Rattus norvegicus: one gene and its partners. The protein of the gene in region 2 purifies or fractionates together with the protein of the main gene of each other region. This does not show direct contact. Links are inferred from orthologs where the notes say so. Each region holds a gene or a part of one and is shown on either strand. Other genes may lie near its edges.

Region 1 (6,205 bases), on a different chromosome or scaffold from region 2:
CAGCATCTGGGAGGCAAAGACAGGAGGATCTGAGTTCAAAGCAGATCTGAGTTCAGGCAGATATTGAGTTCAAGGCCAGCCTGATCTGCAGAGCAAGTTCCAGGGCAGCCAGGGATACATAGAGAAACCCTGTCTCCAAAAACTGAAATAAATTAAGTATTAACACTAAGTGCCCCCATATCCCATTTAGCTCCATGTACCTTTAACAATGGGTAACGTCATGTGGGGAGGGGGCTGAGGCAGAAGTTATTTGGGGGCTGGTTAGTGGAGTGGTTGCCTAGTATGCATGAAGCCCTGTATTTGATCCTGAGCACTGCACTTTTTTTTTTTAAGGTTTATTTATTTATTATATAGAAGTACGCTGTAGCTGTCTTCATGCACACCAGAAGAGGGCATCAGATCCCATTACAGATGGTTGTGAGCCACCATGTGGTTGCTGGGAATTGAACTCAGGACCTCTGGAAGAGCAACAAGTACTCTTAACCACTGAGCCATCTCTCCAGCCCCTAGCCTTAACCCTTAGGAGGCAGAAGGGAAAGAATCAGTCAGAGGTTCAAGAGCATCCTTGGACACAGCAGGTTTCAGGTCCAGTTTGGGATACCTGAGGCCTGCAGGGGTGGGAGGAGTGACTCTGCCTTCTGAGATTTAGAAAAGACCAAAAATCATGATCCAGTTGAACTTGTGGGGAGACTTTAAAGCTCATGCCTCTCATCTCCACTGAAGCTGTCCCAGAAAACAGGATTGAAACTGCTTCCTGTGGGAACTGAATTCCTGTGGCCTCATCTCCAGGTGGAGCCTGCAGGCTTCGAGCTGGGATGAACTACAGGACAGAGGACAGGAGTGAAAGGGCCTCCTTGAGAAGCATAGCCACCTGGCTTCTGTGCTCCAAGAGAGGTAAAGGTAGCTTGCCTGGCTTCTGAATATCAAGGAAAGCTGCAGAGAATGACAACCCTGGATGTGGCACCCACAGCCTTGTCGGTCTTCCGACTGGACAGAAGTCCTAATTGCTGAGTCCCTACTGGCCCTAAGCATTGAAGTCAGCCTCCTTTATTAACACACAGGATAAGGCTGAAAACACTGAAGAGAAAGAGAAAGACCAGAATAAGATCAAAACTCTATTCCTTTGGTTTTCCTATCATCCAGGCCACATTCCTTCACTGACCTTCTCTTTCATTTGCCAGTGGGGTAATTGTTGGACGTGTGGAGTTATTTAATAATGGTTGACCCCGGGCTTCTTTTGGAAAGGAAAAATATTTTAATTCACCAAATTCGTTGCTGATAATAGCTAGCTTTTTTTTAGGGTGGTGGTGGGGTTAGAGACAGGATTTCTCTATGTAGCCCTGGCTGCTCTGGAACTCACTCTGTAGACCAGGCTGACCATAAACTCTGAGATCCACCTGTTCCTGCCTCCCAAGTACTGGGATTAAAGGTGTGGTGTCGCACACTAGCTTCTTATATTTATCATTTCTGGGTTTGTTTGTTTGTTTGTTTGTTTTTAGCACAGGAAATTGAAGCTTTCTCCATCGAGAACCCACCAAGCCCCAGCCTCCCATGTCAAACTGAACAGCGCTCTAGACTGCATTGTGCGCAGAGGGCAAACATAAAGAACACTTGTGGGTTCCCTCACCAGCTGAGGGAGACGTTATGGTCTCATGACCGCTTCTCATCTTCTCCACTGAAGAAGCACGAATGAATCTTTTTATCAGTGGTGATCCACAGGGGATGTTAACGCTGTCTACGATTCTACTTGGTGTCTACTCTTTCTGTATGGAAGGCTAAGTCCACAGCGGAAGAACTTTACAGAATTTCTCCAGAGCTAACCCAGTGCGTCTCAACTTCCACTTCCTAAGGTTGCAGCCCTTTAACACAGTTCCCTTATGTTGTGGTGCCGTCCTATCATAATCATTCCATTGCTATTTTATCACTGTAATTTTTGCTGCCGTGACGAATTGTAGCGTAGTTATCTTCTATAGGATCCCCCTCAAAGGGGTCACGACCCACAGGTTGAGAACCGCTGCCCCTCGTCAACCCCGCGAGAGAATGGGCGTTGCTTCCTTGGTCAGAAAAAAAAAAAGAAAAGCAGAAAAGCACATCCCAGGATTAGGAGAGAATCTCTGTAATCTCAACGAATCTGAAACAAAGAATGCGCATCCGTGTTCTAGTTTTACTCAGGAGGACAGTTTAGTCAACCGCTTTGCACTTCCAAAAAGCCTTCTCTCTTCAGAGTATCTCTCAGAGCACACAGACCCTCCTCATTGGTCAGATTTCCTGTCAGTCACAGTTACAATTGCTATTGGTCCATCTTGAGGTTTCTCCCGCCTCCCTTTACCTAATTGGTTCATTCGAAAAGGCCGCCTGTTGAGTAAAAGACCTTTGTGAGTAAAAGACCGTCTGCGATTGATTGCTGTAAACAGAGCAAATGAGAGCGAGTCGGTGATTGGTTCCTCTGATTTGGGCGGGCTAGATGAATGTTCAAATGAAACTAGGGAAGCTCTCCTAACCGACGCACGTCTGTGGAGAAGCGTCCAAGTCGCCGGTCGCCTAGCGTTTCTCACTGATTTTGTCGCTTTTAGGATTCTCGAGCCCCTTCAGGACGGTCACCATGGAGTTGTCACCGCTGCAGGTACAGCTCGCGGATGGGACCGGGTAGTAGAGCCTTTACGCGGCTTCTGCGTTCATGGCGGGTGATGAAAGTTGAGGCTCCTGGGCCGAGGGCTGGCCGGCGACGGGCTAGGATCTGGTCAACTCCATCTTCTGGGCCTTGAGGGGTCATGGACAGGGTGAAGCTCTTTACGAAATGATATCGATAATCTAATCTGGGTTCTTGAGTGTCGTGTTTTTATTGTTGGTGGGGGCAGGTTCAACTCGTCCTGTGATCGGTCTGTATTCTAATAGCCCCAGGGTGACTTCCAACCGGCTTATAGTTGAATTCGATGGCCCACTTTCCTTCCCTAGTTGATTTGAATAACTCATCACGGAAGGTGCAGAACATGACAGTTCCCACTGAGGAGCTGGCTGACCGAGTGGCTCAAAAAAGTCCTGTTTCAGGATGTGAATGTGGCCAAGGGTTTGCATCCCTAGCATCCCAACTGCTACGGCTGGATAACACCACCATCTGCAATCTGCACGAGACTGTGTGGGCACTCAGTAAACATTTTTCCATTAGATGAAAGAAGTTGAGTGTAGTTTATCGATGACATAAAAATATTATTCAAGGCAGAAATGTCCATACTTGGCTGAAATAAAATACTTATTTAAACGGGCACCTGTAGCCAGACCTAGTGGGGCAGGCCTGGAATGGCATCTGCTCCAGAGACTGAGGCAGGAGGATGGCTTAAGCTACCTAATGCGACACTATCTCAGAAACAGCAACGGGGTTTTGAGAAGCAGGTCTGGGGAGTTTGCTCAGTGGTCAGAGCATTTGCCAAGCACGTGCATGCAAGGAAGGCCTTGGGTTCCATCCCCAGCACCACACATACACAAACCACAGAACCTAGTTCCAAGGATTTTAATTGAATTGTTTGTTTGAAACTATGCAAACTCTCCCGGTACCTACAAGCAGAGGACAGATTGTGATGCAGTGTATTGACTTTATCATAACTGCAGATACTTTGTTGGCCACTTCTGATAAGGTTGTAAAAATCAGTTTATTTTTGCTTCCCCAAATGACTAGCCTGTAAATGAAAATATGCTACTCAACAAAAAGAAGAATGAAGATGGCAAGAAAAGACTGTCCGTTGAAAGAATCTATCAGAAAAAAACCCAACTGGAACATATACTGCTCCGCCCAGATACCTACATCGGCTCTGTGGAGTTAGTGACCCAGGTAAAACCAAACTAGCTTAGTGCACTTGCTCTATAACACGGCATACTGTGTCAGGTTAATGTTTCTTACTTTACTTGGCGTCACTGGAACTGATCCTTCATTGATGCAGATACGGACTCTGTGCGTGTGTTTCAACATTTATTCTAGAAGACTTTACTCCTGAATGTATTGGTGCAGGCCTTTAATCTCAGCACTCAGGAGTTAGAGGCACATGGATCTCTTGAGTTTGAGGCCAGCCTGGTTTGTGTAGCCAGTCTCTGGCCAGTCAGTGCTACGTAGTGAGACATTGTCTCAGAAAAGGCAAGAATATTAATGTCAAACAATAAATAAATAAATAAATAAATAAATAAAAAAAACTAGTGAGACACTGTCTCAGAAAAAGCATGAGTATTGGGGTTGGGGATTTAGCTCAGCGGTAGAGTGCTTGCCTAGCAAGTGCAAGGCCCTGGGTTCCGTCCCCAGCTCCAAAAAAAAAAAAAAAAAAAAAAAGCAAGAGTATTAATGACAAAACAATAAATAAATAAAAATAACTTTCTTTGCCTTTTCTAGCAAATGTGGGTTTACGATGAAGATGTTGGTATTAACTACAGGGAAGTCACTTTTGTTCCTGGTTTGTATAAAATCTTTGATGAAATTCTAGGTAAGTAAATATTTTTATATAAAGATCTCCTGGTTAAGTTCCTAGGTATCATGCATACCAAACCTTCTGTAGACATAGCCTCTGCTCCTGTCATTTCAGGTAATTAGTGGTCAAAAGTGAGGCAGTCAGGCTGCCTGTGGCAGTCACGTCTTTAATCCTAGCACTTGGGGGTACAGGTGCACAAATGTCTGCATTTAAAATTGGCTTGAGGGGTTGGGGATTTAGCTCAGTGGTAGAGCACTTGCCTAGCAAGTGCAAGGTCCTGGGTTTGGTCCCCAGCTCCGAAAAAAAAAAAAAAGAATAAAGTCGGCTGATCTACGTAGTGAATTCAAGGCACTTAGACCCTACCGCCAAAAAGGAAAACAGACAAAAAAAAAAAAAACCAAGATAATCCAAATAAAGTCCAGAAAGTTAAGTTTTTCTCTGGAAGTAGTACTATGAACAGAGATTGGTATACTAAAGCAACAAGGTGTTAATTCCAATGCCCAGGAGAAAGATGCAGGAAACTCAAAAGTTCAAGGTTATTCTTCACCACGTAGCAAGTTCAAAGGCAGCATGAGATGCGTGTGATTCTGTCTCAATAAAAACTGCTGTAAACTAATGCCGTGTTAATGTTGGGGTTTTGTTTTGTTTTGTTTTTTGTTACTTGTGAATGTTTTTCTTTATTATAGACCTAGTGTGTTGTAAAGCACTTTAATGCCTTCTAAGTGTGTATTTTATTTTCTTACAGTTAATGCTGCTGATAACAAACAAAGGGACCCAAAAATGTCTTGCATTAGAGTCACAATTGATGCGTAAGTGAAGCTGTCTGTGCTAGTGCTCCTATTCTTGTGCTTGCTTTGATTACCGTGAAGATAGCTTCTTTAAAATTAATGTTTTGGGGGCTGGAGAGATGGCTCAGCGGTTAAGAGCACTGACTGCTCTTCCAAAGGTCCTGAGTTCAAATCCCAGCAACCACATGGTGGCTCACAACCATCTGTAATGAGATCTGATGCCCTCTTCTGGTGTGTCTGAACAGCTACAGTGTACTTATATATAATAAATAAATAAATCTTAAAAAAAAAAATTAATGTTTCAGGGGCTGGAGAGATGGCTCAGTGGTTAAGAGCACTGACTGCTCTTCCAGAGGTCCTGAGTTCAATCCCCAGCAACCACATGGTGGCTAATGATCCAATAATGAGATCTGGTGCCCTCTTCTGGCCTGCAGGCATACACGGATGCAGAGCACTATACATAATAAATAAATCTTTGGGGAAGAAAAAGGACTGAGTGTAGCTTGGTGGTAGCATGTGTGTAGTCCAGACCCAGGACTACAAAACCAAAAAGCTTACCAGCTGTGGGTGGTATATACACTTCATCCCTTCAGGAAGAGGCAGAGACAGATATCTGCATACCAGGCCACCTAGAATTTTGTGGTGAGACCCTGTCTCAAAACAAAACAAATTTCCACAGTTGCTCTGAGCCATTTCAAAATAATTTGTAGACATTATGCTTAACCATGCAGTGAGACAGGGCAGGATGTCGGCTAACATTTGCAATAATTATTCTAGTCATCTGAAAGTCTAGAAGGGTTTGGGGTTTTTGTTACTGTTATTTCCTTTTTGATGATGCTATTGAAACAGCAAGCCAGCAGCTGGTAGTAGAGAATAATTTGGGTTTATATTTCTGGTTTTAAATGCGAGTGTGCCTGATCCACATTTTCTATTACCCTGATCAGTGTGATGTAAACTGTTTAAGGC
Region 2 (6,041 bases):
CCCCACCCCCAAAAACATCAGAAAGAATGGACGGAAAGCTCTAGAACAGTAGGGTAGGGAAGGAATCCTTCAGGTTAGGCAAGGTCACCTGCCCTTAACCTTGGAGCACAGACCCAAAGGGACGATGCTCTGGAGCAGGAGCCCAGCCGCCAGCTCTGACTGTGACCCACGGCTCCAAGTGCTGGGGGTCTGGTTTACAGGCAGTCCACAGCATCAGGACAATCCTGCCCTTCGGTGCCACACCATGGCTGCATAGTGGGGAGCACTTGAGAACCTCTAAGCCTGTACATGTGAACACTATTTTCTTATATTGCTTAGTCCTGATTGCTTGTCACTATGGCTGAGTGACTCAAATATAGACCTGTAAGTCCAAGTCGGTCTACAATCAGATCTCAGAATCAGACCCCCTTACTCAGAAGACCAAACTATGGCAGGCTTCCTAACAGCTTCTTGGTAGCTTATACCTCTGCCTGAAAAATAGCAAAGTTGTCAGGAGCAGAGTCATTACCTAGGTCAGGTGGGGCTTCTGCCACAGAACTATCCCCAAATTAATTAATCAGACAATTTAACTACTTGAGAAGAGGTTGGGGGCTGGAGAGATGGCTCAGCGGTTAAGAGCACTGACTGCTCTTCCAGAGGTCCTGAGTTCAATTCCCAGCAACCACATGGTGGCTCACAACCATCTGTAAAGAGATCCGATGTCCTCTTCTGGTGTGTCTGAAGACAGCTACAGTGTACTTATATAGAATAAATGAATCTTAAAAAAAAAAAAAAAAAAAAAAAAGAGGTTGGGAAACAAGGGGGAGGCAAGATTATATTCAGTAAAGTAGGGGTAAGCACAGGGAGAACTAAGAGCACGGACAACTCCAAGTTGCCTGCAGTAGTGAGAGAAATAAGAGTACCCAACACTAAGGTAGTCTGTCTGCTTTTGAAACAAGCATGTGCGGCAGGCAAGATGGATCCGTGGGTAGGATTCTCGCCACCAGAACCCAGGTTCAACCCTACACAGAGAAGGACAGAGTCAACTTGTAATGTTGGCCTCTGACACATCATTCCCATGCACACACACCGCATGTTCACCCTCGACCACATGAAATATTGAACCTCTGCTGCATGTGCGACCATCCACTTGCATTCTCCTGCCCCATGACAGTGCTCAACCTCATATCTAAATAAGATGCCATGTCTTACACAGGACAGACCAAAACACAGGTGACTAGCCAGCTGGGCACGATGGCACAAGACTAGTCATCCTGTCATTGTAGAGGCTGACGCAGGAAGATCACCCCAAGTTCAAGACCACCTTAGGCTGTACATAGTGAGACGCTCGTCTTTTCAAAACCCCTTTAAACCAAGTGTGACGGTGCAGGCCTTCAATCCGAGCACTCGAGGCAGAGGCAGTCCACAGAGAGACTTCCAGAACAGCCAGGGAACATGGAGAAAAACCAAAAATAAAATATGAGGGGGAAAAAAAACTTTTTAAGTGATTAGTAAATCATTTCCTTTTCCCACCAGAAAACATAAAACATTCGCATGGCTTCCCCAAGGAGTGCTGAGATTCCAGCTGCTGCCGTTTGTTAACCAATCAGTGTGGGATTAAAAACTCGTGCTGGACAGTCTGTGAATGGATAGCCAACCCAAGAACCTGAGCACTCGCACCGGCCCCACACCTTGTGCAAACTTAAAAACTTCCTAAGGCACACCACAGGAAATGCTCTGGTCCCACTCAGAGAAGTCATGACACAGCCTCCCTAAACATCAGGGAGCCTCCAAAAACACTCAGCCCGATCTGGTACTGTCTTTCTGGGTGACCTAGGAAGACCTCCAATGTGTGGTATAGCAGTGCAGACCCAGCTTGATGGCATCCAACACAAAATACCAGATAAATGGAAAACCACGGAAAATAATTCATCTGAAATGGAGTGCTGGGCAGAGATCTTTCTGAGTCGACCTGGAGGAGCCTCTGCTACTAAATCTGAGTACAAGATCATCCTTAAAGCTGTCCTCTAAGCTCAGTGGCAGTGCTCCCACAGTTGCACTGGTGGCACACGTCCCTTAGTCCCAGGATTCTCAGAGCCAGAGACAAGAGGATGTCGAGTTCGAGGACAGCCTGGTCTACATAGTGAGTTCAGGGCAGTCAAGGCTGTCTCAAAAAAAAAATGGGGGGGGGGGGGGATGAGGGGTGGCAGCAGCTAAGCTCACTTGAAGACTCCAGCCCGTGCGTTTCTATCAAGCTGTGCTCTCTTTTGTGCAGGCACCCCCAACATCACTAACAAATTTGGCAAGTGTAGCTCAAGCCAGAATGGACTAGCAATTTGTCTCTCGACATTACTGCACTAACTCCGTTCAGATAACACGCCCACCGGTAGTGCACAACGCAGCCAGCCTGCACAACCCAACCGAGAGGACAGCGACACACCGCGCCTCGAAGACTTAGGAAGTAGACTAATCAGGCGCGAAGGAAGACTGCCGGCCACCCTCCTCTACCCAGGCAAACGTGTGGTTGGCAGGGCCAAGGGTAAACAGGGAAAAATTCATTCAACAATTTCCTGATGGCAGAGCGTGCGGACAGACGTAGGAGGCAAGGTTAAGACGCTGCGGAAGAAGGCGGGGAGAGAGGAGTTCACAGGCAGGTAATGATTACCAGCTCCGGCCGCCGGCCCACACTTGAGCCTCCCCGATGGAGTTGGGGAGTGGTGCCGGGCAGGCTCTGGGTCTTTCCTGAGCAGGCCTGGGGAGCTGCTAAGACCGGGGCCTGGAGACCCAGCTCCCTTCCACATGGTTCCCGGAGAGCGAATCACACAGCGACTCAGAAGCCATGTGGCGGGGTGGGGTTGGGGGGAAGCGGCCCGAACCCAGTGCGCTTCCGAGGCGCCCGACCCGGTAGGAGGAGGAGGAGGTCCCCGAGAAGACGCAAAGGGCGGGATGTTGGGGTACAAGACTCACTTCCTTTGGGCTTTGTCCTTCTTGGCCTTGGTCCTTTTCTTTCGGGCCTGGAGCGCGAGCACTGCGGGAGAGAAGGATGAAGGGCCGATGTAAGAGGGAGGCGGGGAGCGGCGCGAGGACGCAGGGCGGTGGGGCCTGAGGCTGTGCCGGCCGAGCGCGGGCCGGGCTGCCCGGAGTGCACGGCGGCTGCCAGGCCCGGCGCGCCCGCAGAGGCTCGGGCGGGCCATGAGGCCTCGCCGCCCCGGCCTGGGGGCTGCGGAACGAGGGGCGGGGACGGCGGGCGCCCGAGGACGGCGCTGCCGAGGGGCGAGCGGGCGAGGGTGACGCCGCTTCGGGGGCCGCGACTGCGGCCAGAAGAGGCGCCGGGCGCCCACTCGGGGGCCGCGGTGTCTCCTCGTGGCGGAGGCCGCTCCGCCGCTCACCTTTCCGCTCCATGGCGAGACCGGTAACCGCCAGGCGCCTGCGCACTCGAGTGACGCCGACTCGGGCTCCCGCCGCGGCCCTAATCCCAGCTCTCCCTCACCGCGCGCGCCGGCCCCGCCTCCGGGCCCGCCCAGCCACGCCCTGCACGGCGTCGCGCGCCTGCGTAGTAGACCCGGAGCCTACCACCTGCTTCGGGGAGTGCGGGAGTGGAGCGCAGGGGACCCAGGGACCCTGAAAAGGAAGCTGGTTCTAGTGCCCCCGCCATAAAACGAGCTGCATCGAGGAGAAGTTCTTACCTCCTGAGGAAGGGCAGGGCCCCGCAGTCAGTCGGGATTTGCCTCAGTTGCCCGGCCTGCAAAACCGATTGACCAAACATGTCCCAGTTCCTCCCTGAGCTGTTGTGAGGGTCGGTGAAGACACTAAAGAAAATGGGAAACTGCAATCGAATGTGGATGCACACAGAACAAAGGCCGGAGGGAGGGAGGGAACGTGTGCCGTTGTCATCTTTTGAAGATAAAACCTTGGGCCAGCAGCCCATGCCTTTAATCCCAGCACTCCACAAGCAGGTGCATCTGTATCAGTTCGAAGCCCGTGGGTATAGGTAGCAAGTTCTAGGCCGGCCAGGACTACATAATGAGACCCTGATTCAAAAATAAATCAATAAGAACTGGAACAGGAGACAGCCCAGCAGGTAAAGGGGCCTACCTCCAAGCTTGAGGACCTGAGTTCAAACCCGCGAATCGAGAGGACTCGATTCTGGATTCTCTCAGGTCGCCCTCTGAGCTGCACACCGGAGTCAAGGCACAGGCAACAACCCCTCGCCCATAAGTAAATAAAACAGTTTCTAAAAGTAAACGCAAACACTCCAAAAGGGAATTCCCTCTAAAAGTTGAAAGCCATAAGTTGAAAGCTTTAAAGGAAGGGGGTGGACGAGATTTCTGTTTTCTCCTCGAATCACTTTATCTCCTCATCGTAGAACTTACAGGGTGTTTCCATACTGTTTAAGTGCATGATCTTATTAGATGCTGATGTTAATTGCAGGCCAAGGTAGTTATTATCCCCAATACGGAAAGATGAGAACTTGGAAAGGGTGTATGCTCAGAGTCGTGGTGTACCAACCCAGTGATTCAGGCATCAAAACCCTTAGAGTAAGTAGAATCAGCAGGTATTTCTGAAATGGGTGGGGGAGGAGCACGAGGCACTCTGGACCCCAATATTTATTCCAAAGCATAGACGTGGATGCCGCTATGGAGATTTACTAGTAGGCACTGAAATTTGAATTTTATATACTTCACACATGTTTCAGAACAGTCTCCTTTTGATCTTTTTTGAGCATGATTTTTTTCCCCCATGCTCAGGCCTCAGCTAGCAAAGAGAGGATGCTTGCCCAGAATACAGCTACAAAGTCACTGGGTAAACCAGATGTTAGTATTCCAACCAGTAATCAGGAAGCTGAGGCAAGGGGATTGCTGCAAGTCTCAAGCCACGCTGAGCTATACAGCGAGCTCCAAGCCAATCTGGGCTACAAAGTGAGACCATGCTTCATAGGGAGCACATGCGGGACGGATGGCTCAGTGGTTAAGAGCACAAACTATTCCTGCAGAGGCCTGGAGTTGGGTTCTCTACAAACTTCCCGGGGCTCACAGTAACCTGTAACTCCAGCTCCAGGGGAATCCGATAGAGACCTGCTTCTGTAGGCCACTGCACTCACTTTCACAAACCCACAGATGCATATATGTAAAAATCAATCTTCAGCAGGCCATGGTGGCAAATGCCTTCAATCCCGCCCTTGCAAAGCTGAGGTAGGTGGATCTCTGAGTTCAAGGCCATCCTGATCTACGTAGTGAGTTCCAAGACAGCCAGGAGAGTTATACAGAGAAACCCTGCCTAGAAAAACAAAAAAAGAAAGAAAGAAAGAAAAGAGAAGAAAACTTAAAAGAACAAGAAGACATAATATATATATGTGTATATATATATATATATGTATGTATGTATGTATGTATGTATGTATGTATGTATATATTGTCATTGTCTTCAGACACACCAGAAGAGGGCATCTGATCCCATGATGGTTGTGAGCCACCATGTGGTTGTTGGGAATTGAACTCAGGACCTCTGGAAGAGCAGTTGGTGCTCTAACCACTGAGCCATCTCTCCAGCCCCCGAAGCCTTTTCAAGTGTCATGTATATGTCTATATTCCAGCTAGGGAGTTGGCTCAGTGGGTAACGTTCTTGCCTGACATGTGGATTCCCCAGAGCCTGTATAACTGCTGGGTAGGTGAGGCAGCCTGCTGGAGACAGGGATCTTGGCTCGCTAGATGAGTTAATTAGCTTCTGGTTCAAAGAGAGACCCTGCCTCAACAGGGTAGAGAATGATTAAGGAAGACAAGCAGTGTAAAAGCTCAGGCCTCTGCATGCACAGGCACATGGACACATGCGGTGCACACCACTGTGCTCGCACACACGGGAACACGTACACGGGTATACATACTGCACTCACATTTACGTGCAATAAAGGAAGAAGAGGGGGTGATGGAGGGAAGACAGAGGAGCAATCAATCAGTTGGGAATGGATAGCGAGCACTCAGGAGCACAGACCAAGCCTGGGAGCCCAGGCACAACCTCCTTAGCAAAGCAGGCAGATCGGTCCCGGCAGGGAGGAGGCCACCACG
Region 3 (6,195 bases), on a different chromosome or scaffold from region 2:
AAAAAAAGGGCTGGGGATTTAGCTCAGTGGTAGAGCGCTTACCTAGGAAGCACAAGGCCCTGGGTTCGGTCCCCAGCTCCAGAAAAAAAGAAGCAAAAAAAAAAAAAAAAAAAGAGTTCTACATCTTCATCTGAAAGCTGTTAGTAGAATACTGGCTTCTATGAAGCTAGGACTAGGGTATTAAAGCCCACGCCCACAGTAACACGCCTACTCCAACAAGGCCATACCTACTCCAACAAGGCCACACCTCCAAACACTGGCATTCCCTGGGCTAAGCATATATAAACCATCACAGTAACTACAAAAAAGGTCTGTAAGCTAATCTAACAAAATCTTTTTATGAAATGAAAGAGATTCATTCTATAAATTCTCTAACTCTAGAGAACCCTGAATAATACACCCGCTCTTATAACACTCTGCGTGGCTTCTTAGCAGGTCCTGCAAGCGTCACAGTCCACCAATAATTATGTAGGTCTACCTTCAATGCCTATGTGACATCAAGAACTGCAAGCTCGATCAGGGGAGGCCTCTAGGATGTTTCATTGACTCTTCTGGTCTGGCTCCTAGCCCTCCACAAAAATCTCTTAACAAGTGATGACCACAGATAACAGAATGAACACAGTCCCTGCCCTTCCCCTGTATCTGAAACTTTCCCATCCTCTCTGGCCCACTACCTTCCCCCTCTCCTCTACTCTCTCGAAACTGCCATTTCCAGCATCCCACTTACCACGTATTGCCTTGCATCTCGAGGTACACTGTAGATAAGCTACATCTTCCGCTCACAATGTAAGTTCTACAAGACAGAAAAGGTTTAAACACATTTCCAAAAGTGCCAGTGCTTAAAAAAAGTGGGGGAGGGGTATGGAGGGGGTTGTCTTGGTTTACGATTATCAGTGATTTTAAATCCTCTAATGCTCTTAGTCTCTTACCAAATCAGGAGCATACTGAGCTATGGTCGATTTTCCAAGCAAATTGCTGTCCTTGTTAGTTGGGCAGCTGTGCTAACCCAAAACTAGCCATTGCTAAGGTTTGGTAGAAGATTGAAGGAAAGACTTCCTCCATCCTCCACAGACAGAATTCCCTTCACTGTAATATAAAGTAGGCATAAAGCTAACCCAAAAACCCCAGTGAAACCTGAGTCTAATTCAAATAGAGCCACAACCTGACTAAGAAACAACCACCATTCTTTACTTTCATCCTCAGCTCTTCCCACAGAACACTGCAAACACGAATGAACTTACACACACACACACACACACACACACACACACACACACCACACAAGGCTATCCCAGAACTGGGGAGGCAGAAACAGGCAGATCTCTGTGAGTGCAAAGCCAGCCTGGTCTACAGAGCTGGAGCTCTAGGACGCTCAAGGTTTAATGTAGAAACATCTTTCTAGGGGCTGGAGAACAGCTCAGCAGTGGAGAGCACTTGCTGCTCTTGCAGAGCTCAGTTTCCAGCACCCATGCTGGGTGACTCACAGCTGTCAGGAGATCCAGTGCCCTCTTCCAGCCTCTGGAGGTACCTGCACACAAGTATACATACAAATATGTAGGCTAGTGGCTCTCAACCTCCCTATTGCTATGACCCTTTAGGACAGTCCCTCATGTTCTGGTGACCCCCCCCCCAAACAACCATAAAGTTATTTCATTGCTACTTCATGACTGTAATTTTGCTACTGTTATGAATCGTAATGTAAATATGTGATAGGCAGGACATCTAATATGAAACTGCTGTGACTTCCCATTGATAGCCAGCCATTGTTGGATTAGGTGGATCACAGCGTGCAAGTCATTCTAATAAATCCCCTTTCTATACATGTAGATTCATTCTGTCAGTTCTTTCTGTAAGTTCTTTAACTCTAGAGAAGTTACAAACACACACACACACACACACAAACATACACACACACAAAAATAAAATTTTTAAAAATGTTTGTCTCTATCAAACTTACATATATATATATATACACATATATATATATACATATATATATATATATATGAGCTCTATCAATTACTGCTTAATAAACAATAGCTACCAAATAATAGGATCAATGATTGCTCCTTGGGATTTGAGGCCCTACAGAAACTGAACCCAATCTCTCCCGGGCTATCATCTTACTTCCTTCTCCACAAAGTCCCTGTCAGCCCATAGTTTCTGGATCACTTAACATACCAAGCACTATCATAAAACTTTTTCGCTTCCATTCTCCCTAACTTGTCCAATGAATTCCTAACCATCCACCAACCTCTTCTTGTGAAGAACTCCTGACTTCCTTTGGGAACTCAATCTCATCCCTTCTAGGTTGCTACTACTTAGTGTATACTCACTTCTTTTAGGGAACTTACCAGAATCTGCTGTATGTGACAGTCACGTGTGCCCATGGTGAACTCCTCCAGCATTTACTAGATCCTTGAAATCATGCGCTCATTCAGTCATTCCTGCATCCTTCACAGCCTCTGCACACAGTAAACGGCAGGCAAGTTTTAATCTCCCTCATTGGGTATGTCTCTAAATCACTAAGTTTACATTTTCATTCTATTCCTCCCACAAATACACATTTTCAAAACTACCTGGGAAGCAGACATATTCGGAAGCAGACATATTCACTGACTCCATCACTTACTGAGACAGCATATGTGGGACACTGTCCCAAACTCTGTAGACTCAAAGATGGGTAAGGCGCACAAGCCTGCTGAGTTCAAGGATCGCAAAATCCACATACAAATGTTTATATAATAATAATAATAATAACAACAACACAACATGTCCCAAACACTTTAAAAGGAAAAATGCAATGTGATAAATACAAGAAAATAAGGATGTAGAGAGTCCAGGAGAACAAAAAGGACTGAACTGAAGCTAGAGTTGGACAACAGTCAGGGGAATTAACACCTCTCCACAGTGTAAAAACGGAACGGCATACTCCGTTAGAAAAGCTAGACAATACTGTACCACTCACTGTACTGTGGATGCAAAGTTTAACTCAAGTCAGTGAGTTAATGCAAGTGGGAAATACCTATTCCTGGGAATGCCCTTTGAAAGCAGGGAAACCGAGGGAGCTATTCTGAACAGTTTACTTGTCCAGGACCGGCGATCGACACACGAGGGTTGCAAGGTGTGTCTAGAAGTCGCTGAAACCCCGCACTTTCCCCAGGCTGAACCTGCAGCCCGGCCTCCTGCAGGACGATGAGCAACTGCATGTAGTCTAGTTTGCATCTCCCGCCAGCCTGCGGGGTTAAGTGCCAGACTCCGGGACTCGCCTCCCACTGGAGCCCGGGCCGCCCCGCGCCTACACCACCGCTTGTGCTCCACAAATAGATGAAAGGCATCCCATCCCGCTGCTCCACATCAACGGGATCTGTATCTCTTTCGCCCTGGAGGCAGATCTGCCCCGAAGCTGCCAGACCCAAGCTCCCAGGATCGTTTCGCTCAGTCCCGGACTCCATTTAAATCCCGACCCTCGATTCTCGTTCTCCGAACGCCCATCACGCGCCCCGGTTTACCTACAGATAGTACCGAGGTCGCCGCCATCAAAGCCCAGCCTGGTTACTATAACAGCCTCCACGGCAGAGGCGCCACCCCGCGCCTCCGGAACAGGAAACCCCGGGAATTAAAAAGCAAAGCCGAGAAAGCTGGGCCTGGGGAGGGAAAACTCTCCGGAGCGCGTCGCAGCACCTTTTGTGCTGTGATTGGTAGATCAGAGAGAGTGACGGACGTCTAGTCCAATCGACAATGTCTACAGGTCTCACACACGCCCCTCCACCTTGTTGTCCTCCAATCCGGAAGCGCAACCGGGTGAGCGCGCGTTTCCGCCGCTAATGGACCGTGGGGCGCGCGGCTTGGAGGTGCTGGGCTCCTCTCCCGGGTGTCTCAGAGTCACCGCGGCCTCGGTCGCGCGGAGACATGAGTGACACGGGAGGCGACGGCGCGCGCCTCAGGCGCTATCCCAGGCTCCCGGTGTGGGTAGTGGAGGATCACCAGGAGGTGAGCGGGCGACGCAAGCCACCGAGCCCTGGCAGGAGGGATTCGAACCCCGGCAGCCTGCAGAGACTTGACCAGCACCTAACGCTGGCGCAGCCTGTCCCCCTGCCGACGTCATCATCCTACCGTTTAACGAGGTTACCTACGACCTGAACCCGCGGCGGTGAAATGGGTCCCCAATAATCGTAGAATGTATTATAGGGCTGTCGCTGAAGACGTAAGCCTTAGCGTTTATTAACGTTTTATATGGCAGTGCTTCAGTAGACTTCTGGAAGACAACCAAGCAAGTCTAGATTTGTTTATGGACCTGTGGAGAGTCTCTGGATATAAAACAAAGGGGATCTAGAGTGAACGAAGCTCAGTGGTACAGTGCTGGCCGCAGATCTTGGGTTCAACCCCTGTCCCCAGGAAAAAGTGGGAGAAGGTTATTTACTGATGGAGAAAGTTGGAAAGAAGGTCTATCTCTGAGAAACTCAACTTTGGGTTAGTCTGGCTTTTAAATTTGGTAGTAAACTTGGATGTATAGCGAGTAAGAGGAAAAAGTCATCTAGTCTAGCACCACCATCCTAAAGGGACAGAAAATGCCCAGGTACCTGGAACACAGTTTAATACTAGAGTACGTGGTTCTGGACTGTTGGGTGATAAAGATGGAGATTATCGTCAGAACCATCTACCATTTTTGTATTTTCCCACTTCAGCAACTTGGTGCACTTCAAGTTGATGCAGTTTTTTCTTTTGTTTTGTCTGCACTTGACAAGTGTGTATGCGTCTGTCTCTGTTACAGGTTCTGCCTTTCATATACCGGGCCATAGGTTCGAAGCATCTTCCTGACAGTAATATACGTTTTTTACACTTTGACTCCCACCCAGACCTCCTTATTCCTGTGAATATGCCGGCAGACACTGTGTTTGATAAAGAAGCACTCTTTGGGTAACATTTTTTTTTATCATATTTTATGTATTTGAAATACAACGTATAACATGATAAACAATAGATTCTGCTACACTCATGTTTGGGTTTTTTATTTGTTTTTGTTTGTTTGCCCTTTTAAATTTTAGTTAGAACATTTTTTTTAACTAACTAAAAGAGCCAAAATAAGGATCGAGTGCAGTGGCTGAAACCTGTGATCCCAGCCCTTGGAATGCTGAGGCAGAAGAATTACAGTTTGATGAGAGCCAGGGCTACATTGTAGCCTCTTTATGGTTAAGTGTTGTCAATATTCTTGACAGAAGTCTAGATTCTTGGCAGAATCTAGAATTCTCTGAGAAGTGGCTACAGGGCTTGCCTGTGAGGGATTATCTTGATTGGATTAATAAAGGCCACTCCCTAGGCATTCCTATATGTGAGTCTATGGGTCCATTTTCATTCAACCACCACACATTCCTACCCTTGATAACCAATATCTTAGTGTATCTGGCTATGTTTGTGTGTCCACTTGACATAAGCTGGAGTTATCACAGAGAAAGGAGCCTCCCTTGAAGAAATGCCTCTGTGAGATCCAGCTATAAGGCATTTTCTCAATTAGTGATCAAGGGTGGAAGGGCCCATTGTGGGTGGTGCCATCCCTGGGCTGGTAGTCTATACCCAAGTTCTATAAGAAAGCAAACTGAGCAAGCCAGTAAGTTATATCCCTCCATGGCCTCTGCATCAGCTCCTGCTTCCTGCCCTGTGTTAACTCCAGTCCTGACTTCCTTTGGTGATGAACGGCCACGTGGAAGTGTGAGCTGAATAAATCCTTTCCTCTCCAACTTGTTTCTTGGTCACGATGTTTGTGCAGGAATAGGAACCCTGACTAAGACACTGCCACTGGGGCCAGACAAGGCAATTCTTTCATTTTTGCCCTTGCAAATGACACCCGGATTCTCCATCTGTTTGATTCAGTCCATTGCTATGTGCCATTTTGATTGAAGTTTATGATTAAGATTCGTGCTCTTACAAAAGTGATTAGAAAATGAGATAGTATTTTCAATACTAATTCAGGTAAGTAATGTTCTGACTATTCTTTGATCCTCCACAAGCTTACAAAAGCTTGGCTGGAATACAGACTCCAGAGGTTCAGTCCTGTGTCTAAATAACCAGTTAATTGATCTTTCAAAGACAATTCATTTCAGAATTCAGTGCTTTTCCTTGAAGCAACTGTTGTACTTCACGGTCTACAGCAGAAGTTTTGGTGCAGCCCTCTTTTTGCTTCACAGAATATTTTAA

What was found.
Region 1: the proteins of Srpk1 (region 2) and Top2a fractionate together in Homo sapiens (co-fractionation; 3 studies listed by BioGRID and IntAct, with this or other methods). This does not show direct contact. The link is inferred for Rattus norvegicus from reciprocal best matches to the Homo sapiens genes SRPK1 and TOP2A.
Region 3: the proteins of Srpk1 (region 2) and Drosha purify together in Homo sapiens (affinity purification with mass spectrometry; 3 studies listed by BioGRID and IntAct, counting the BioPlex papers as one, with this or other methods). This does not show direct contact. The link is inferred for Rattus norvegicus from reciprocal best matches to the Homo sapiens genes SRPK1 and DROSHA.

Annotation. Positions count from the first base shown.
Region 1 is NC_086028.1:84,469,382-84,475,586, reverse strand, and holds the start of Top2a (DNA topoisomerase 2-alpha), read left to right. Parts: upstream 1-2,493; 5' UTR 2,494-2,602; coding exon 2,603-2,623; intron 2,624-3,673; coding exon 3,674-3,826; intron 3,827-4,375; coding exon 4,376-4,466; intron 4,467-5,196; coding exon 5,197-5,260; intron 5,261-6,205. UniProt on the Homo sapiens protein: Key decatenating enzyme that alters DNA topology by binding to two double-stranded DNA molecules, generating a double-stranded break in one of the strands, passing the intact strand through the broken strand, and religating the broken strand.
Region 2 is NC_086038.1:6,680,378-6,686,418, forward strand, and holds the start of Srpk1 (SRSF protein kinase 1), read right to left. Parts: upstream 3,459-6,041; 5' UTR 3,382-3,458; coding exon 3,369-3,381; intron 3,008-3,368; coding exon 2,947-3,007; intron 2,634-2,946; exon of another isoform or gene 2,411-2,633; intron 1-2,410. UniProt on the Homo sapiens protein: Serine/arginine-rich protein-specific kinase which specifically phosphorylates its substrates at serine residues located in regions rich in arginine/serine dipeptides, known as RS domains and is involved in the phosphorylation of SR splicing factors and the regulation of splicing.
Region 3 is NC_086020.1:63,589,372-63,595,566, reverse strand, and holds the start of Drosha (ribonuclease 3), read right to left. Parts: upstream 3,590-6,195; 5' UTR 3,517-3,589; exon of another isoform or gene 3,513-3,516; intron 2,466-3,512; 5' UTR 2,355-2,465; intron 1,529-2,354; exon of another isoform or gene 1,485-1,528; intron 794-1,484; 5' UTR 745-793; coding exon 728-744; intron 1-727. Other genes in the region: C2h5orf22 (UPF0489 protein C5orf22 homolog), read left to right, coding at 3,913-3,993, 4,775-4,920. UniProt on the Homo sapiens protein: Ribonuclease III double-stranded (ds) RNA-specific endoribonuclease that is involved in the initial step of microRNA (miRNA) biogenesis.